Linked DNA regions of Yarrowia lipolytica. The protein of the gene in region 2 interacts with the protein of the main gene of each other region in a biochemical or structural test. Links are inferred from orthologs where the notes say so. Each region holds a gene or a part of one and is shown on either strand. Other genes may lie near its edges. The genes, in order: YALI1_C12333g, YALI1_B13973g and YALI1_F01405g.

Region 1 (6,239 bases), on a different chromosome or scaffold from region 2:
ATGTCATTGCGCACTTCAGAACAACCCGAATCCAAATCCCGATTTTCCGGGTATAATAACATTGTCTAGCTGAATTAGCTGAAATGTATTTCCCTAGAATAAGAAAAAAAAAGTATTATTCACTAGATCCAATTTTCTTTTTTTTTAAAAAGCAAAATGTATTTCCCTACCATTGAAAAAACAAAAAATTTCCTAGAATAAATCGAAATTCCCTAGAATAGATAGAAATGCTCTAGAATAAATAGAAATGCTCTAGAATAAATAGAAATGAGCTAGAATAAATAGAAATGAGCTAGAATAAATAGAAATGAGCTAGAATAAATGAATAAATAAAATGATTGAACGCCAACAACCCAGCTTAAATCTGATATTTCTGTCATGAACATTACATTTAAAATTACTGAAATAACTGAATACGATGTACTTTGCACTTGTACTTTCGTTTTTACTGCTGTGCTAGGAGTACTACCTACATTCAAAGAATGTAGAGAAAGTAGTGTTGAAGGTAATACTCGGTTGTAATACCTGGCCAATTCCTCATATAATGATGAGAGGAACCATCCTGGTCGTAGTAGATAGGTTTATCCACTGATCTAGAATCTCTTTTTGGAGAAGAGCAAGCACAAACCAGAAGGGTGTGCGCTACTATCGGAACGTGGTGTCCCTAGAAGTGACTGTAAGTCGTTTATTCACTATATCTTCAATAAGTAGACACCAATATTAACAAGAATGTCACACCAAGGGACTGGTTTTTTTCTTCCATCAAGGTTTCTCTTTATCAACTGCCTTCTTTTGGGTCGTTCAGCGGTAACATTTTTGTTGAAGTTGACTCACTACTTTAGTAGCTTTCAGATGTAACCAATGACAAAAGCAGTGCGGAAGTGTTCAAACGTTCGAACACACACGGTTTGATTGCTTCTAACCCTTAACAAGCTGCCTAGTACATATAATTCACTACTGTATCTGTAATACAGTACAAACAGCACCTGTGAGGAACTCCAACATCAATACCGGCTAACTTACACTGCGTGAACGTATTGCAGCTGCTCGTAAAAAAACTCTTCAACTGATCTATTACCTCAAACATCTTCAAACATATCATTAAATAACATCTGTACATAGTCCCAGCAATTCAACATAGGACGTTGTCTGCTTCGTGCTTCGATTCTCTTATCGAGTTCTAATAATACCGGCGGCAACCAGCAACTGGACCTTCCGGGCAACCTCGGGATTCTTCATGTGGTCCTGCAGAGCGGCGGGGTTCTCCCGAGCCTGGTTGAGAATAGACGACATGATGGGGTCCTGCAGAATCTGCACGATTTCGGGATCCTTGGAAGCTCGCTCCATGGTCTCCTCGGGAGTCTCGCCCTCCTGGGCCTGGAATCGAGCAGACATGGCCTTGTACTGCAGAGCCTCAATCTCGGCCTTGGACTTGCCCTCCTTGTCGTGCTCAAGGGCTGCAGTGCAGGTGTCCACACACTTGGAGTACTCTCGCATGGCAAAGTAGGCGTTAGCCTTTCGGATGTAGGCTCGGATGAATGAGGGGTCCTTGGAAATGGCAGCATCACAGTCAACCACAGCCTCGGGGAAAGACATGAGCTTGGCAAGGGCAGCAGCTCGGTTGGAATAACCAATGGGGTTCTCGGGAGCTCGCTTGATCATCTCGGTGTAAGCCTTAACAGCGCCGGGCCAGTCGCCGGCAGCAAACTTCTCCTTACCTTCCTCTCGGGCCTCCTCGGCCTTGGCAGGATCAATGTAGGCTTGGGTCTCCTTGTTCTTAAGATCCTTCTCAGCGGCTCGCAGCTTGGAAAGAGTATCGGGGGTTCGGTGCTCGGTGAGAGCCCGGTTGTACAGCTCAATAGCCTTGGGCAAGTTATCGAGCTTGACATAGGCGGTGGCGCATCGCGAAAACGACTTGGCCAGCACTTTGTAGTCGGCAAACACCTCCCGGCCCTTGGTGATGGCCTCCTCGCAGGTCTTAATGCATGTCTCGTAGTCACCCTTCTCAAACTCGGCGGCGGCTCGGTTGTTGAGGTAGGTGATATCCTCGTGGATGGAGTAAGCCTTGTTGTAGTGAGCAATGGCCTCGTCGAACTTGTGGGCCTTGTAAGCGGTGTTTCCGAGAGCCTTCTCCTCATCGGCCTGCTTCTTCTCGTCGGACACAGGCTCGGCGGCGGGCTTAGATTCGGTCTTGGGGGCAGCCTTGGGGGCCTCGGCGGGCTTGGCCGGCTCAGAGTCCTTCATCTCAACGTCCTGCTGGGCGTCGTGGGCAGCCTTGTCCTCAGAAGCCTTGCCCTGCATGTCGGTGGGAATACCGAGCATCAGAGCCATAGCCTTCATGAGTCGGGGGTCCTGCTGCATGCCTGAGAGAGCAGCCATGGGGTTCTTCTGCAGTTCGCCGAGCTTCTTAACAAACTCAGGGTCCTTCATGTACTCCTTGACCTCGGGGTCGGAGGCCAGCTTGGCAAGATTGGCGGGGTTGGAGAACATGTCACCAAGACCCATATCGGGGGTAGTGCCGTCGCCCTGGGCCTCGGCCATGATGGCTCGCTCGACAGACTCCAGACCAGCCTTGTTCTGGGCGTTGGAGGGGTCCAGCTTGAGACCCTCCTCGTAGGCATCCTTGGCGCCAATCAGATCGCCCTTTCCGTGCAGGGCAGCACCCTTTCGACCGTAGCCCTTAGCCCACTGGGGGTTGATGTCAATACAAGACTGGGCGTCCTTGAGAGCATCGTCGAAGTTCTTCAGAGAAGAGTGACAGGCGGATCTGTTGGAGTAGAGCACGTGGTTAGGGGTGGGAGAGGCTTCAATGGCCTTGGTGAAGTGGTCAATGGCGGTAGGGAAGTCCTTAGCAGCAAAGGCTGCGTTTCCTTGAGCTTTGAGCTGTGTTAGTATGGAGCCAGGGGGAGAAAGCTGGGGGTCCGCGAATAACGGCAGAAGCAGACACAGTCAGATGTGAGTTTGAAACTGTGACGGGCAATGGGGGTAGTGGGACCCATTGATAGCAATCAAAGCGACATGGTTGGAGTGTCATAAGAAGGGAGTTCTAGTACTCCGTGTCCATCTCAAAAATATGTCAAGACAATCCAACACCAATTGTCACGTTTGCCATCATTGAACGGTCTTTGGACCATTACCATCACCACGTCACCACCGTACAATCATCATTGCACCACAGTGTCCCACAGTCAACAGTTCTGTAAAACCATTGATTATAGGGACAGCTAGATCATGGCCTCGTGACTGTGTCAAAGTCACTCAAAAACCCACCGAATCAGGTCCAAATCACCCCAATTGTGTCACCTTCTCTTCTGGGTCGCATTCTCATCCAGTGTCGCATTTCCCTTTCAATACTCACTTCGTCAGCAGACATTTTAAGTGTTCTTTCAGAGTCTCGGTATGGGGTCGAAAAAGGCAGCAGCCCTCTTATATCCCAACCTGCAAGACCCCAGCTGAATCTTCTAGAATCTTGTGGTGGTGTGGGACCCTAACCCTGACGCCTGAACTTTGCCAAACCGATACAAAATGAGTTCGCCACTATAATGGGGGAAGCCAAGTGTATTTTTCGGGTCACGTGAGTTATAAGAGACACTTTCCTTACAATAACAGCGATAGTGGCCATTTTCTACTCTTTCAGTAGACACTAAATCGACGGGTTGCCACTATTGAATAAGTTTTGAATCGGGCGTATGTCTGGAAAACTTTATTAATTGTTGAGCCGCACGGGAGGGAGATCTCAATATGGGGCGGTACAAGTATTATATGACGTAATTACGAGACTCAATGGTGGTAATATGGGATACATTTATTTTGATATGTTGTTTTATTGATTTTTCGAATTTTTTAAATTTCATTCGAATTTGTTTCGATTTTTTTTTATTTAAATTTATTGATTTTTTTGAACTGGGGAAAATCTTGGAAAAAAGGATACACCTTCTCAGCATCAACACCATCTGAAAGGATATCGATGATATGTTTAAAAAAAACAACCATATATACGTATTGTATTAGTTCAGGAGTCTCAGATTTTCAAAATATGACTACTTGCAGCTATACATCACCCCACTTATCATAGTCTCCATCTGAAATGGAACCCAGAGTTCCCCCTCTTGTCCTTTAGTTACATTACCGGACATTATCATCACGTGACGCAGGATGGGTTGAGTGAGAGAGGTGTGGTATTATATACCAAGATCTTTGGGGTTCGTGCTACGCACTATCTATGAGCCCTGTTTTCTGTTCAAGGCACGAGTGTGGATACCTTGATCTGTTGGGTTCAGCATAGTGGATAAATACTCGTAATTCATTACCTATACATTCTAAGTCTCAAGTGCCAGACTTGGGCTTTACTCGACAGTGGTTGATTGTAGCCTTTCGTACTGTACAGTTGGTGTCAGTGACACTGTAGTTGGCGGTGTTAGTTGTCTCTTATTTGGTCAGTTTCTCATTTGGTGTCGGTTGGTTTCCAGCCTGCTTTAGTCCATCGACTACACCGGGCTTCATCTCGGTCTGTCAGCTCGTCAATGAGTAGCACTGCTGATGAACCAATCCTCCAAACACCTGCTTGACCGCATCGGTATCGTTGAACTGTCTCTGACAAATGTGGCACATTTCAGCCGGCGAAACGGTCCCTTCGTCCTGACGATAGTAGTAGTACGGTCTAGCGAACCCGTCGCTGTGGGAGTAAGAAGGCAGGGTGTCCGAGTTGTAGGACCAGGTGGAAGGGTTGGTGGATTGAGAGCTGGTGGAAATGTAGGTAGTCAGAGGCTCCTTGTAGTACTTTGGCCTTGTTTGCTGGGGCTCTTGCACGGCTCGCCATTGCTGCACCATCTGGTTGGCTTCCAGGTCCCTTCTGGCTGACTGATTTCGCAGTCGTCGTTTCTGGACAAAGTGGCGAGTGAAGTAGACCGCTAGGAGCACCACCAGGAACACCACACACACAATGATGGCAACGTAGTAGTATCTTGGAGTCATGGAGACGGATGTTGATTCTCTTGGAAAAGGTGGACCAAAGATAGCCAGACCACACCTACATATATCTGGGCCATGACGGACCACGGAGCCCAAAGTGTAAAGACAAGGCTAAGGGAGAGAGCATAAAAGAGCGTTGGGAAAAAGTAAGTGTCGCTTGAGCCAAACACCTTGCTTGCAAGTCCAGTTGAAACAACTGTAGATGTAACAAGGTGCAGAGATCGTGGCTCTGGTCTGGTCCAACACAACGGTACTGTACCGTCACTTCACTACATATAAGACACGCGAGAGAAACCAAATGGAGTCTTTACCGGACGATAGGTTGCCAGCTGCTCACTTTTACAAAGCCAAGGTGATAGCACTTGCATTATTGCTGGCCCCAATGCGACCTCGAAACGGGGTTAACAGGATCCAGAATTAGATTGAACCTTGTGTGCTTGTCCTGGCAGAGAGATAGTCGGTTTTTGGGCTGTGCAAGGAAGCTGTGGCTGGTATATTTAGCGGTAGACGCGGTAAAAAAGTCCTGAACGGCGTCTACACGCGCCATATTACCGCTCTAGACCCCGCTATGGCCTCCACTACCCACAACTGTCTCCATCCACCTGCCATTCCAAACCACCCCTTGAACTCACTTCCCAGAGAAGGGATGTCAATAACGTGTAGCAGCAGCACGTAGGTTGTAACAGGGCAGGGTTGGCACGAGGCAGGGGAGGTCTTGGACGGTACCGCATCAGGAGAAGCAAAATTATGTATCGTAATTCCTGTTGAACTCGTCCTGTTTGACAGACTCCTAATGTCATTTTTACTTGTACGACATTGTCACCTTGTGTTTCATCTTGTAACAGAAATAATTATATAAGCGCAGTCGCACCCTCCACCCTTCACCTTCACCTTCACCCTTCACCCTTCGTACCTTCTGCGACAGGGCTTGCAGACAACTGGTGTGACTTGGAATAACGCACTGTGGCCCCCTTACTCTCACCATGCACACAGCACCCAGCCTGACAGCCTTCCCCACAGGTGTCCCCCAAACCCAAAGACACATGGACGGGACCGCTGAGCTGCGGATATCAGGAGGGTCCCCTGGTCAGGTTGCAGGTGACAAAAGTGTCCGGCGGCCAGGAGGTGTTTGGGACCACGCCGATGCCCTTGGCGACGCTCGTGCGACGCTAGTCCTGCAACGGCGGGCCTCCGACGCTCCACTATGGATGCAGGACGTTAGTCTTGTTTCAGATTGCAAGGAGAGGGAGGAGTGCGCGCGTGCTCAA
Region 2 (5,723 bases):
GTCTCCACAAGCAGAAGGATACTTTGACCCTCGATCAGGCCCCTTCCCTCAAGACTACGTTCCAGTGCAGATACAATCCACCGTTGAAGGCTCTTCGTTACGACGCAGAAACTCGAGTAAAAGTTCAAAGTCTTCCAAATCTGCTAAATCGGCGAGATCGGCGAAATCTGCAAAACCTGACCCGCCCAGGCGAGCCTCTACCACCCCCTCTCTCCGCCCTAGCTCCTTGTCGCAGACAGATATCGAGCTGTACGAAAGTCCGGCGGTGGGGAAGCTCATTTCTGTGTTGGAAGAGAGCGTGGCATTGAAGAAGGCTCAGCAGCAGGAGCGCACGAGCCGCTCATCTAGATCCACCTCTGTCAACTCCTCTGCTCCCACTACAGTCAGTTCGGCTGCTTCTTCTGAGTCCACAGACACAGCTCAGCGAAAGTACGAGGCGGAATTTCTGCGACGTGTACAGGCCAAGGTGGAGCTCCGCAACCAAAAGGTCAAGCAGGCAGCTCTTCTTGGCGAGCGAGGCATTCGTTTGGTTCCACCAAAGAAGCCTGAAACACCTGGAACGCCCAAACCAGCAGGATGGGGGGAGTACTTTCCTTGGGCCAAGAAAGCAGACGAACCTGCTGCTTCTGACATTCCCGTGGAGACAGAGCCAGCATTTGAGTCCCTGGCTGCCCAGTACTACCAGGATCTATTTCAGATGATGCGAGACCACGATGTTCCTGCTGTCGTTGGAGACGCTATTGTCAAGGGATACGAAGAGGCCATTAGGATTGAAAAGGAGATCAAAGACGAGACGATCAAACAAAAAAAGGCCAGGGAAGAGGCTGAAAGGAAGGCAGCTACTCCCGTTGCACCTCCTGTTGCCAACACGCCTGCTTTCCTCACCGTCATCATTCACGGTGCCGAAGAAGAAAAGGACTATGGCTACAAGATCCCCGTCGACAGTATCAAGACGTTCAAGGAGTTCAAGAATCTCATGATCTTGACTTTCCCGTACAAGGCCAAACATTGGCAAAAGGAGTGCTTCCAAGTATTTGATGAAACAAACAACTATTTCATCATGGGCCAGTTCTGGGACAAGCTCATCAAACGAGACACCATTCTGGCCGTTTCCCTGACTCCCTTGCCTCCGGAGAAGGAAAAGGAACCCAAAGACAAAGGTAAACCCGAATCTCCAGCCACCCCCATGCCGGGCAAGAAGAAAAAAGAACCGTCCAAGTTCTCCAAGGCCATTATGGCTGACTTTGATAAAAAGAAATTCAATCAGAACACCACCAAAATGTTCAAGAAGTTCGTGGAGGCCTCCACTCGACCGATTTAACTATTAATCAAGTACTGGCAGCTACATATTCAATAATTTATGACTAACATATACGGCGTATGTAGTGTGTGACACGACAGTACTGCACATACTGCAAGTCTGTGTAAGTGAGATACAATTCTCGTGACATTTTTGATGATTAGGAGTTGACCCACTAAACAAGTCGCGCCAGAGACCACGCTGTTACAGTATTACGATATCCCCATCACTTGTATTACACATTTGATTGTCAGTACAAATACTGTAGCCACCGTGACACAGTTTTGACTACCTACGCTCACTCTTTTGTTCCAATAGTCATACTCGTATTAGACAGGCCATTCGACCCATCTTTGCTATATACACTTTGTCTAAGCCTGAGGGGGAGTAATCTCCTTGAGCTTCTTGTAGACCACGGGGAGATCGGTCTGCAGGGTGGTCTGGATCTTGGAGGCCACCAGGAAGACGAGGTTCTGCACCAGCTCCTCCTCGCTTCGAGCGTACTCGGCGTTTTTCTTGAACATCTTCATGGCCTCGTCGTGCTTGCCGGCAGACAGGTACAGCTGGGCCAGGGTTCCGATGGCAACTTCGGATCGATCGTCGATCACGAGAGCCTGCTTACAGAGGTCGACGGAGGTGTCGAAGTCCTTCTGAGTCTGGAAGATAACCAGAGCCTTGGAGACCAGAGGCAGCACGCTCATGGAGGTGGGGTTCTGCTCCTTCTCGAGAGCAATGGCCTTGTCGAGGTATCGCAGCGACTCGGAGTACTTTTGGGTAGACAGAAGAGCCTCGGCGTAGTAGTTCCACAGATCAGCGTTCTTGGGGAACTTCTTAGCACCCTCCTCGAAGACCTCGAAGCAGGCGTCGACGAGGTGTCGGGTCTCGATGGGGTTGGACTGGCCCACTCGCTCACCCTTCTTAAGGTGGGAGTTGGCCTTGAAGATGAGCGACGGCACAAAAGTGTCGTCCAGCTCCAGAGACTTGTTGTAACACTCAATGGCCTTGTCAAACTCCTCGGACAGGAAGTACAGCTGGCCCTGGTGGTGGTAGCAGTCGGGGTCCTCAGCGTTGAGAGCCAGGGCAAGCTCAATGTCCTTCTGGGAGGCAGCCTTATCTCCGGTGTCGAGGTGGATGGAGGATCGAGTGATGTAGGCTTGAACAGTGGCAGACAGCTGCAGAGACAGGTCAATATCGGCCTTGGCCTCGTCAATCTTGTTCATAAGGAAGTTGAAGATGGCTCGGTACTCGAGAGCCAGAGCCTTTAGGGTGGGGAAAAGGTTCTGCAGATCGGTGCCGGCAATGGCCTTGTCGAGGTGCTCGAGGGCCTTTGTGTACGAGTCGTAAGTGCCCTTCTCAATCAGATCGAGGGCAAGAACCAGCTCCTGCTCGGCCTCGTGGTCAGTGTCCTTCTTGAGGTCCTTGGGCATCTTTCGGGGTCGGAAAGAGCCAAGGTAGGTCTTGACAAACTGCTGGGAGGGCAGTACCTTGGGTCGGTCCTTGTACTCCTCCTGGGCCACCTGGGCAGCGTTGAGTCGCATCAGTCGGTCGACCATGTCGTTCATGGAGGTGTCGCCAAAGTTCTCGAGCACGCAAGAGGCGGTGATGTCGACAGCTGCGTCGTAGTAATTCTCGAGCTTCTCCTGGGCGGTTCCTCGTCGTCGGAAACACTTGAAGTAGTCGGGTCGCAGCTTGATGGCGGCAGTTGTGTCGTCCACGACCTTCTGGTAGTCCTCCAGGGCAAAGTAGCAGGCGGATCGGTTGGAGTAGAAGATGGGGTCAATGTAGCAGTCCAGAGCCTTGGTGTAGAGCTCGGCGGCCTTGGTGTGCTCCTTCTTGGCGTACAGGGCGTTTCCGGCGGCCTTGAACGAGTTAGCGAGCTCCTTTCGCTCGGATTCGGACAGCTCCTTCACCTTCTCCCAGTCCTGGACATCGGGGTACTGAGGCTCGGATCGGGTCAGAGGAATGCCGGCAATGGACTTTTCGGGCAGATCAGCCTTCTTGGCGGAAGACTCCTCGGTAGAAGAGGCATCCTTCTTGGCCTTCTTAGCCTTCTTCTTTTTCTTGTTCTTGGAAGACGAGTCCTTCTTGGGGCTCATTTGCTGCTGGGAAACCACATAGAAGGATCCAGCGGTGGCAACGGCAGCAATGGCAGACGCCACAAGAATGGTCTTTCGGTTGTCAGCGGCCCACGAGACCAGTCGGTTCCAGCTGCTTTCACTCATTTTTTCTCTCAGTTGTGCTGTGTTGGTACAGTAGAACAAGACTGTGTTTGCTGTTGTCAAAAGAGAGAGCTTCTTCCAATTGTACGCAAGGCAAAAAGCTCTAAAAGTTGTACTGGTCTTGAAACTCTGTTTGGTCTAAAATTCACCCAGTTGAAAGATGGAAAACTTTAGAACATGGCAGATGGCCATTGCTTGGAACCGATATTGGATATAAAAGAGGCCACATTGGGGGCTGATAGTATAAAGCTGAGCCTGCAGATTCGATTCTCTTTTTCACGCCTCCAATATGTTGATTTCCCACCAACTTAGAGACACCCTAAAATTCGCACTACTACGTCACATGACCCGTTAAGTATTACAAGCTATTAGCGAGTCTAAGTCAAATGATCCGGCGCCGGGTTCATGGCAAACCAAGACGTCATAGTGCATTGTATATGGCTGACCAAGATGAACGTACACCTGTGGCGAGTAGGTCATGTGACTTTCACGTTGTGAACTGCTCAATCCGCTACACATGAGCGCTCAATTGGCCTTCACCACGCTCGTCCTGGCGCTGTACCTGCCTCCTTCCAATGAGCGATTTGCCGTACCCCGAAACCACTACAGTTCTAGATCTTCACCGTTGGCCGGCTGAATGCGTCCCCGGAAAAGAAAAGAAAAGAAGACAAGATAGTGGTCACGTGAAGATCACGTGAGTTTCAAACGCTCGCTCACCAAGGTGGAAATGTCAGTGTGTGCTGTGCCTGACTTTCTGCATACAGTGCTCGGCTAAACGGACTGCCAGTAATAATTTACACACCTGTAACCGCCCCGGTGGAACGGACGAATACGAGACAGCGTGAGACATAATATGGGAATGATAGATGGCTTGATATGTGGATGAAATCCAGCACATTTTGTTCAAAAAAGGTACATAAAATGGGCGTTTGAGCGTCCTTTCTTAGTCCTGTATAGGTACTCTACAATCACCCACCTCTTATCTTCATCATGGTTATACGGTTTGGTGTTTGAGGTTAACCCCGTAAATTACCATACCGAATCGCGAGCATCAGACATGGTACTGGTAAAAGGGTATTTCCACAATAATTTGACCGAGATTTTTCCATAAATCTATTCCGACTACCAGATACTTGTAATTCCAAGCACTAGTGGCTATTTTTTGCCTCTCCAAACGTCCATTATAGGTGTCCAATGCCCTCTTCATTGCCTCGTCCATTTCCCGCACTTTGAGTAGAGCACATGAAGCAATGGTCACCACCATAGTTACAAGCTACCGTGCTGTGCCTGGGGTCACTGGACCAACGAGTTCCAGGTTGGAGACTAAATCCTAAACAATCACGATGACGTTGGCAGCTGGGGATTTTAGCACGTTGATTACGACGCTCACTAACCAGTTTTTCCTTTTCAGCACGGGACCCTATCAGTCGCCCGGTAATTGACAGTGTTTGGCACAGCAACTGCGGGCACGTTAAACTCTGAAAATTCACATGGAACTCTGGGGAACCGAAAGCTTGTGCAGAATGAAGAGATCTGCAGTAACGGCCGTGATACAGACGCTGGGTCCCAGTTATATACCGAGGCATGCAATTTGATAGTGACATGCCCGCTGTAGCGGCATGTCCAACAATATACCACGCTTATACACCAGCTTATTCAGTACTTACCTGTGTATGTACATTGCCAGGTACCGGGACCTCCCCGTATTGTTTTCTGCACCCCGGAAAGTCCCGAAAGGTCGGACGTTGATCTGTTGAGCTCGGAGAGGTGTCGGTGGTTTGTCTTTATAAGACCCGAAGCCCGCGTACGAGCTCCGAAAGCTGCTGCAGCCGGTGCAAACGCGGGGTATCGGCACATATATCGTCTTTTGCCTGGGAAAGGCTGACTGCATTCGGAGCCACAGTCACCATCCTCGGTTTACCCCAGCTAAGGCTACTTTCAGCGAAGATTGTTTTTACCGTCCATTTTGGCTTTCGGTCTATAAGAAAAAGGGCTGTACTAATTTTCATGTGGGGACCGCGGCATTAGTCATGTCTAGATAGGTGGACAAATAAGAGCTGTGGAGACAACAAAAAGACGGAACAAGAGAGATGGATGGCGTAATTGCATATTGGCGGCTTAAAATCCGCCCATTGCGCGGCCGTTGACCCCCAAACACACGCCCCCATCTTCTCGGAGATAACATCGGTTTGAGGTGAAATACT
Region 3 (5,535 bases), on a different chromosome or scaffold from region 2:
ATATGCTGTAGAGTCTACTCTCATTAGGTCCAACACCAGTCTTAGGAGGTTTGTATGGAAATGAAGTCTTGTGATCTGAGTAATAAAGCCATATAAGCAATATTCTCTAGTCTAACAGTTTCTCATCGAGTTCCATTCGGCTGTTATATGGCTTTGATGGCGTCCAAGATATGAAGTTCATCCAACTTGGATGTCTGACATGAGTTACGAGATAAAATATGTGTGAATAATACTTTTCACGAGATTAAAAACAAAAATGTCTTTCAATATTTCCGATATAGCATCGCTAGGGCCGGTTTATACAACCCAGTGCTCCGTCCCTCCCTCGCTTATGTAATACAAACCCTAAACCTCGACATGCATGATTTCGAAAATTATTTTTGTCGTGCATATCTGTATCCAAGACAAACTCATCACCACCACATTACACACAAAAGATGGGCGTTTCAAGTGCTTCTGAGGCCACCGTTGCCAAGCTACTGAGCCGAACGCTTGCTCCGTCCGAGGACGTGAGCCGACGAGTGCACAAAAAGAAGTCTGCGACCCAGCGAAAGCTACGGCAGAAAGAGCAAAAACAGAAGGAGGAGCTCAAGCTGCTTCTGGACAAGGAGCTCGCTGACAAGAAGCGCAAGGCTGAGATCAAGAAGAACGCGCGGCTGGTGCGATCCTATGACGTCAAGGAGTCCGAGTACGCGATGGACGAGGAGCAGCTTCAAGCCCAGATCATGAAGCACGTCAACTCCAAGCGGGGCTCCCATATGCTCAAGTCCAAGCAGCTTGCTGAGCTCACGGGTCGTCTGCCCAAGCCTAAGGTGAAGCACAAGACGTATCCCAACTATGTCGAGCCTGAGGAGGAGGAAACTGAGTCTGAGGGAGAGGATGAGTTTGAGCGGTACAAGGGTCAGCCTGGCTTGACTCCTGGTCTGGCTCCTGTGGATTACGAGTCGAGTGACGAGGAGGAGGTGGATGAGTGAACTTTGCGAACGAGCGAACCCATCTGACAGCCTGAAGGTCGTGCTCAACATTCCTCGCCGTGACAGTTGTACGGATCAAACGACCCGTTATTGAGTGGGCTGTTGCAGAGATATCTGCAACATTACTGGACGATTGGCAAATCATTCACAGCTGCATCACTATGGCAGACGACAACAGCATGGATTTATTGCATTAATTTATTGTTATTAGAAGTGAAGTACTGTACTGTACTGTACTTGTAGCTCGTACTTGACAAACAGAGGTCTACTCTCTCGAAGGTGGTTATTTGGTGTTCTGGTAGCTAAACCCCTTCAGGGTACATTAGTCCAAACTAATATAGGTAATGTTGAGTCCTACATTTTGGTCAATCCAGGTATATCGAAATATATTAATATATATTCGGCTACATTTTTTTCTCAAAGATCCTCCTTGGATCTCGAACGACGCTGGGATCTGTATTGAACCTCAAGCTGGCATTTTCTCTAACTAACTTCCAAGTAAATGATCCGACAGAGGTAAGAAAAGCGTACATTCATTTCAAAGGTTATTCTTTCACAGCAAAGTTATAATTAAATGAATGTATATGCAGGAAAAAAAAAAAAAAAAAGTAACGGAAGGACAATGGTAAGCCAGCTATAGCAATCTGCTGATCAGATTTCTGCAGTTCTTTTCAATCAATCAACCAAGTCATCCAATGAATCTAATGGACTTGAGTGGTTCAAAATAAATCTCTTATCCAGCAGATCAAGATGTCTCCATCCAGTCCCAGTAACATACTACTACAAGTAGGAGTTCCGATGTGAGCACCATCACACGAGGCTTCAAAAGCTGTTTCAAGAGGTATTTCGGACGCTGAAATTCATTTATTCAGCCCGGCCACCTTCTTAAAGCTTCTAACTGCTCCAAAATCGTTATCGATTCAATACCAACGAAGTTGCAATCCTTCACCGTTGGTTGTTTTGCTACTTGAATCTTTAGTTGACTCCCCTTCTACTTGTCGGTAATTTTTAAGCCCATCTACACATCACTCTTTCTCAGCTCCTAGAACACCCTAGAACTTATCTCGTGGACCCCAAACCGGTCCCCACTGACCACGAAACTTCCATGCTGCTTCGATTGCGTATACCTTGCTATCTGAGGCACCAACCCACGCCCCAGCACGTCGTTTTTACTCGTGCCCAGCGTGCAATTAGATTGTGCATCAGTGATTAACTCGAGACAATTGGGATCCGAGATGAGGCGGTTGAAGGGATGAATAAATATCACGCAAAAAGAATCAAAATATACTGCCCATGGCACACGTATATTTATCACTATTTTTGCGTGATATTTAATTGTGTCCCCACCATCGCCCTTCCTCGATGCGATCCCGCTCCCGTACCTGTAAATTATAACTCGCGATTACGTCACTAAGTTGAGCTCATCGAACATTGGGGAAACTGGAAGAAGGTCTTGGAACAAGAGCTCGCACAACTGAACACTTTATGCACGACGTCAGAGACCCCAAAACGGCCGCAAAATGGAGCCAGAGACCCGATTTCGCGTGGCAAAAATACACAGCAAAAAACCACTCCCACGCCACCCCACCAACGCCCTTCTTTCTCCACTGGCACGGGACTGAGCAGGCAGTGTCTGGATCTTTCTACACCCTTCTTTGTGAACCTTATTCGCGTTAAACACTCCCAGTACTCTTTGTGCCCTCTAACTTTCAGGCCCATCCTCAAATTTTTTGGCAGTGTATATACAAGCCAATCTACGAGAAGTTGAGGCCTCCTGGAAAAATTAGACCTAGACTCTCACAACAACACAAACACACGACACAGACAAAATGGTCAAGGAATCAAAACTCTACGACGTTCTCGGTGAGTATGAGAAGAGAAGAGAAGAGGAGAGTGAATGGACGGAGCGGTTGAGATGAAGCTGAATAGTATGAAGACCACACACAGACTTGTGATCAGAGTCTTATCATATCAAGGATCAGAAGCGAAGCGAAACTGTGGTGATGTTGAGTGGGAGGGATTGGCAATGTGACAATGTGACAATGTGGCAGTATGAATATGAACACAGTGCAATCTGAGGATGGTTCTGTGTTTGTGTACATGACTGGCTGTTCATCTGGATTTGTCACACTGGTTAGTAGCAATGTTGCGGCTCTCTCATTACCATCCTGCGATTGCCATGACCAAACCACACAACCTGGTATTACCAGACACGCTACGTGCTCCCACATCTCTCCTGTCTCTCGCTCAGTCGTGCCACGCACCCCGAAGTGCTTTACTAACCCAGGCGTCAGCGTAACCGCCACCGAAGTGGAAATCAAAAAGGCATACCGAGTTGGTGCTCTCAAATACCACCCCGATAAGAACCCCGGCAACGTCGAGGCCGAGGCCAAGTTCAAGGAAATCTCCATGGCCTACGAGGTTCTGTCAAACGACCAGAAGAGAGCTGCATACGACAACTTTGGAGAGGCTGGCCTCGGCGGAGGAGCCGACGGAGGAATGGGCGGCGGATCTGCTGAGGAGCTGTTTTCGCATTTCTTTGGCGGCGGCGGTGGCATGGGCGGCATGGGCGGCATGTTCGGCGGCGGCCAGCCCCAGGGCCCCCGACGATCCCGTGACATTGTTCACGCCGTGTCCGTGACCCTCGAGGACCTGTTCCGAGGAAAGACCTCCAAGATGGCTCTCAAGAAGACCGTGCTCTGTAACGGCTGTGACGGTATCGGAGGCAAGGCCGGCTCCGTCAACAAGTGTGAGACCTGTAAGGGTCAGGGATTCAAGTTTGTCACCCGACAAATGGGCCCCATGCTGCAGCGATACCAGACCAAGTGTAACGACTGTAACGGCGAGGGCGAGATCATCGACCCCAAGGATCGATGCAAGGACTGTAACGGAAGAAAGACCAAGGAGGAGCGAAAGGTGCTCGAGGTCAACATTGATAAGGGTATGGTCAACGGACAGAAGATCACCTTCTCTGGTGAGGGTGACCAGGGTCCTGATATTATTCCTGGTGACGTTGTCTTTGTGCTGGATGAGCAGCCCCACGCCCGATTTGTCCGACGAGGCGACGATCTGTACTACCACGCCAAGATTGATCTCAACACTGCCCTTACCGGTGGCTCTTTCATGATTGAGCATCTTGAGAAGGAGGAGTGGATCAAGGTGGAGATCATCCCCGGCGAGATCATTTCGCATGGCACCACCAAGGTCGTGGAGGGCAAGGGTATGCCCTCCTACCGACACCAGGTTCACGGCAACCTGTTCATTCAGTTTGAGGTCGAGTTCCCCGCATCTGGCTCTCTCAACGAGGAGACTCTGCAACAGCTGTCTGCTCTTCTGCCTGCCAAGCCTGCTCTTCCCAGTGTGCCCGAGAGTGTCCATGTTGACGATGTTGTTCTGGCTGACGTGGATCCTCTCAAGCACCGAGGAGCTATGGGCGGCGATGATGAGATGGACATGGATGAGGATGGACCTGGAGGAGCCCAGGGTGTCCAGTGTGCTTCTCAGTAAGAGATTAAGTACGGTTATATAGAAACTCTATTTATGTTGCAACCTTGGAGGTGACAAGATAGTAGGTAGATAGAGGTTAGAATGGATTGATGATATGAGAAGAGAGCCTGAGGATCTAGTCCGCTGAGGATCTAGTCCGAATGAGAACAGTAGTGTAGAAGGAGATGTGAGTATAATTGTTTGTAGTTCGGCTGTCTCCACGGATATATGAGTACAGGATGTACAGCACAGTACATATGTTGGTGACAATGTAGGTGTGTGTACATGTTCGCGCAAAGCTATGAGGATCCCACTGATATCTCCGAACACATGCCATATTGAAGTTAAGAGGTACATTCGATCGTATTTATTTGCTTTTTGATCTGGTTCCTGAACTACTGTAACATGACTGTCTAGGCTCGAGAGCACTTCTTGTACATGTAGTGTTCGAAGCAGAGAAGGGTGGTGCTATTGATTCCAGGGTAGTTTTTGGTTGTTTGTGCCACTATGTGATAGCTGTTTTGGTATACTTGTACAGTAGCTACTTGGTTTAGATGAGTAAGCGTACGTAGTTATTGAACAGTATAGTGTTCTTAGTAGCTAACACCCATATATAGATATATTGACCCAATTGGATCATGATAAATGAGTTGTCTGTACAGTACTTGTACAAACCGGTATTATGAATAATGGCGGACCTTGTCGTATCTTTTTCTATTTGGATTGATAGGAGCAACATTCAAGCGTCTTGTTCTTGGGCGTTGGCTGTGTTTGGACACATACCAACATCCCCCTTTTTTCCGCCATTATTTGTCTATGTTAATAAATCACTAGAGAAAAAAGACGATGGGGAATCCAACGGTAGTATTTAATCACAGGAGGGCTAGTGAATGAGACTAGTTGATGGGTTCTTAGAGGGGGTTTAAGGTGGTGAATCAGTCGTAACGTTCCTGCGTTACAATAAATGGTACAGTAGCGTGTCTGATGGTGAGTCTAGAGTTCCGAGTACATGACCGAATGAAACGGGAGTTGCGGCTAACAGATATTCACAGAATCCTTGAATGATTAATTGACT

Evidence for each region.
Region 1: the proteins of YALI1_B13973g (region 2) and YALI1_C12333g form a complex in vitro, tested with the Saccharomyces cerevisiae proteins (2 studies listed by BioGRID). The link is inferred for Yarrowia lipolytica from reciprocal best matches to the Saccharomyces cerevisiae genes TOM70 and STI1.
Region 3: the proteins of YALI1_B13973g (region 2) and YALI1_F01405g form a complex in vitro, tested with the Saccharomyces cerevisiae proteins (2 studies listed by BioGRID). The link is inferred for Yarrowia lipolytica from reciprocal best matches to the Saccharomyces cerevisiae genes TOM70 and YDJ1.

What each region holds. Positions count from the first base shown.
Region 1 is NC_090772.1:1,230,448-1,236,686, reverse strand, and holds YALI1_C12333g (uncharacterized protein), read right to left. Parts: upstream 3,374-6,239; coding exon 3,359-3,373; intron 2,884-3,358; coding exon 1,171-2,883; downstream 1-1,170. Other genes in the region: YALI1_C12317g (uncharacterized protein), read right to left, coding at 4,513-4,974. UniProt on the Saccharomyces cerevisiae protein: May play a role in mediating the heat shock response of some HSP70 genes. It is required for optimal growth of yeast cells at both low and high temperature.
Region 2 is NC_090771.1:1,395,124-1,400,846, reverse strand, and holds YALI1_B13973g (uncharacterized protein), read right to left. Parts: upstream 3,523-5,723; coding exon 1,672-3,522; downstream 1-1,671. Other genes in the region: YALI1_B14013g (uncharacterized protein), read left to right, coding at 1-1,321. UniProt on the Saccharomyces cerevisiae protein: Component of the TOM (translocase of outer membrane) receptor complex responsible for the recognition and translocation of cytosolically synthesized mitochondrial preproteins.
Region 3 is NC_090775.1:137,992-143,526, reverse strand, and holds YALI1_F01405g (uncharacterized protein), read left to right. Parts: upstream 1-3,026; coding exon 3,027-4,481; downstream 4,482-5,535. Other genes in the region: YALI1_F01430g (uncharacterized protein), read left to right, coding at 438-974. UniProt on the Saccharomyces cerevisiae protein: Probably involved in mitochondrial protein import. Is also required for efficient translocation of pre-pro-alpha-factor. Involved in heme regulation of HAP1, as a component of the high-molecular-weight (HMC) complex.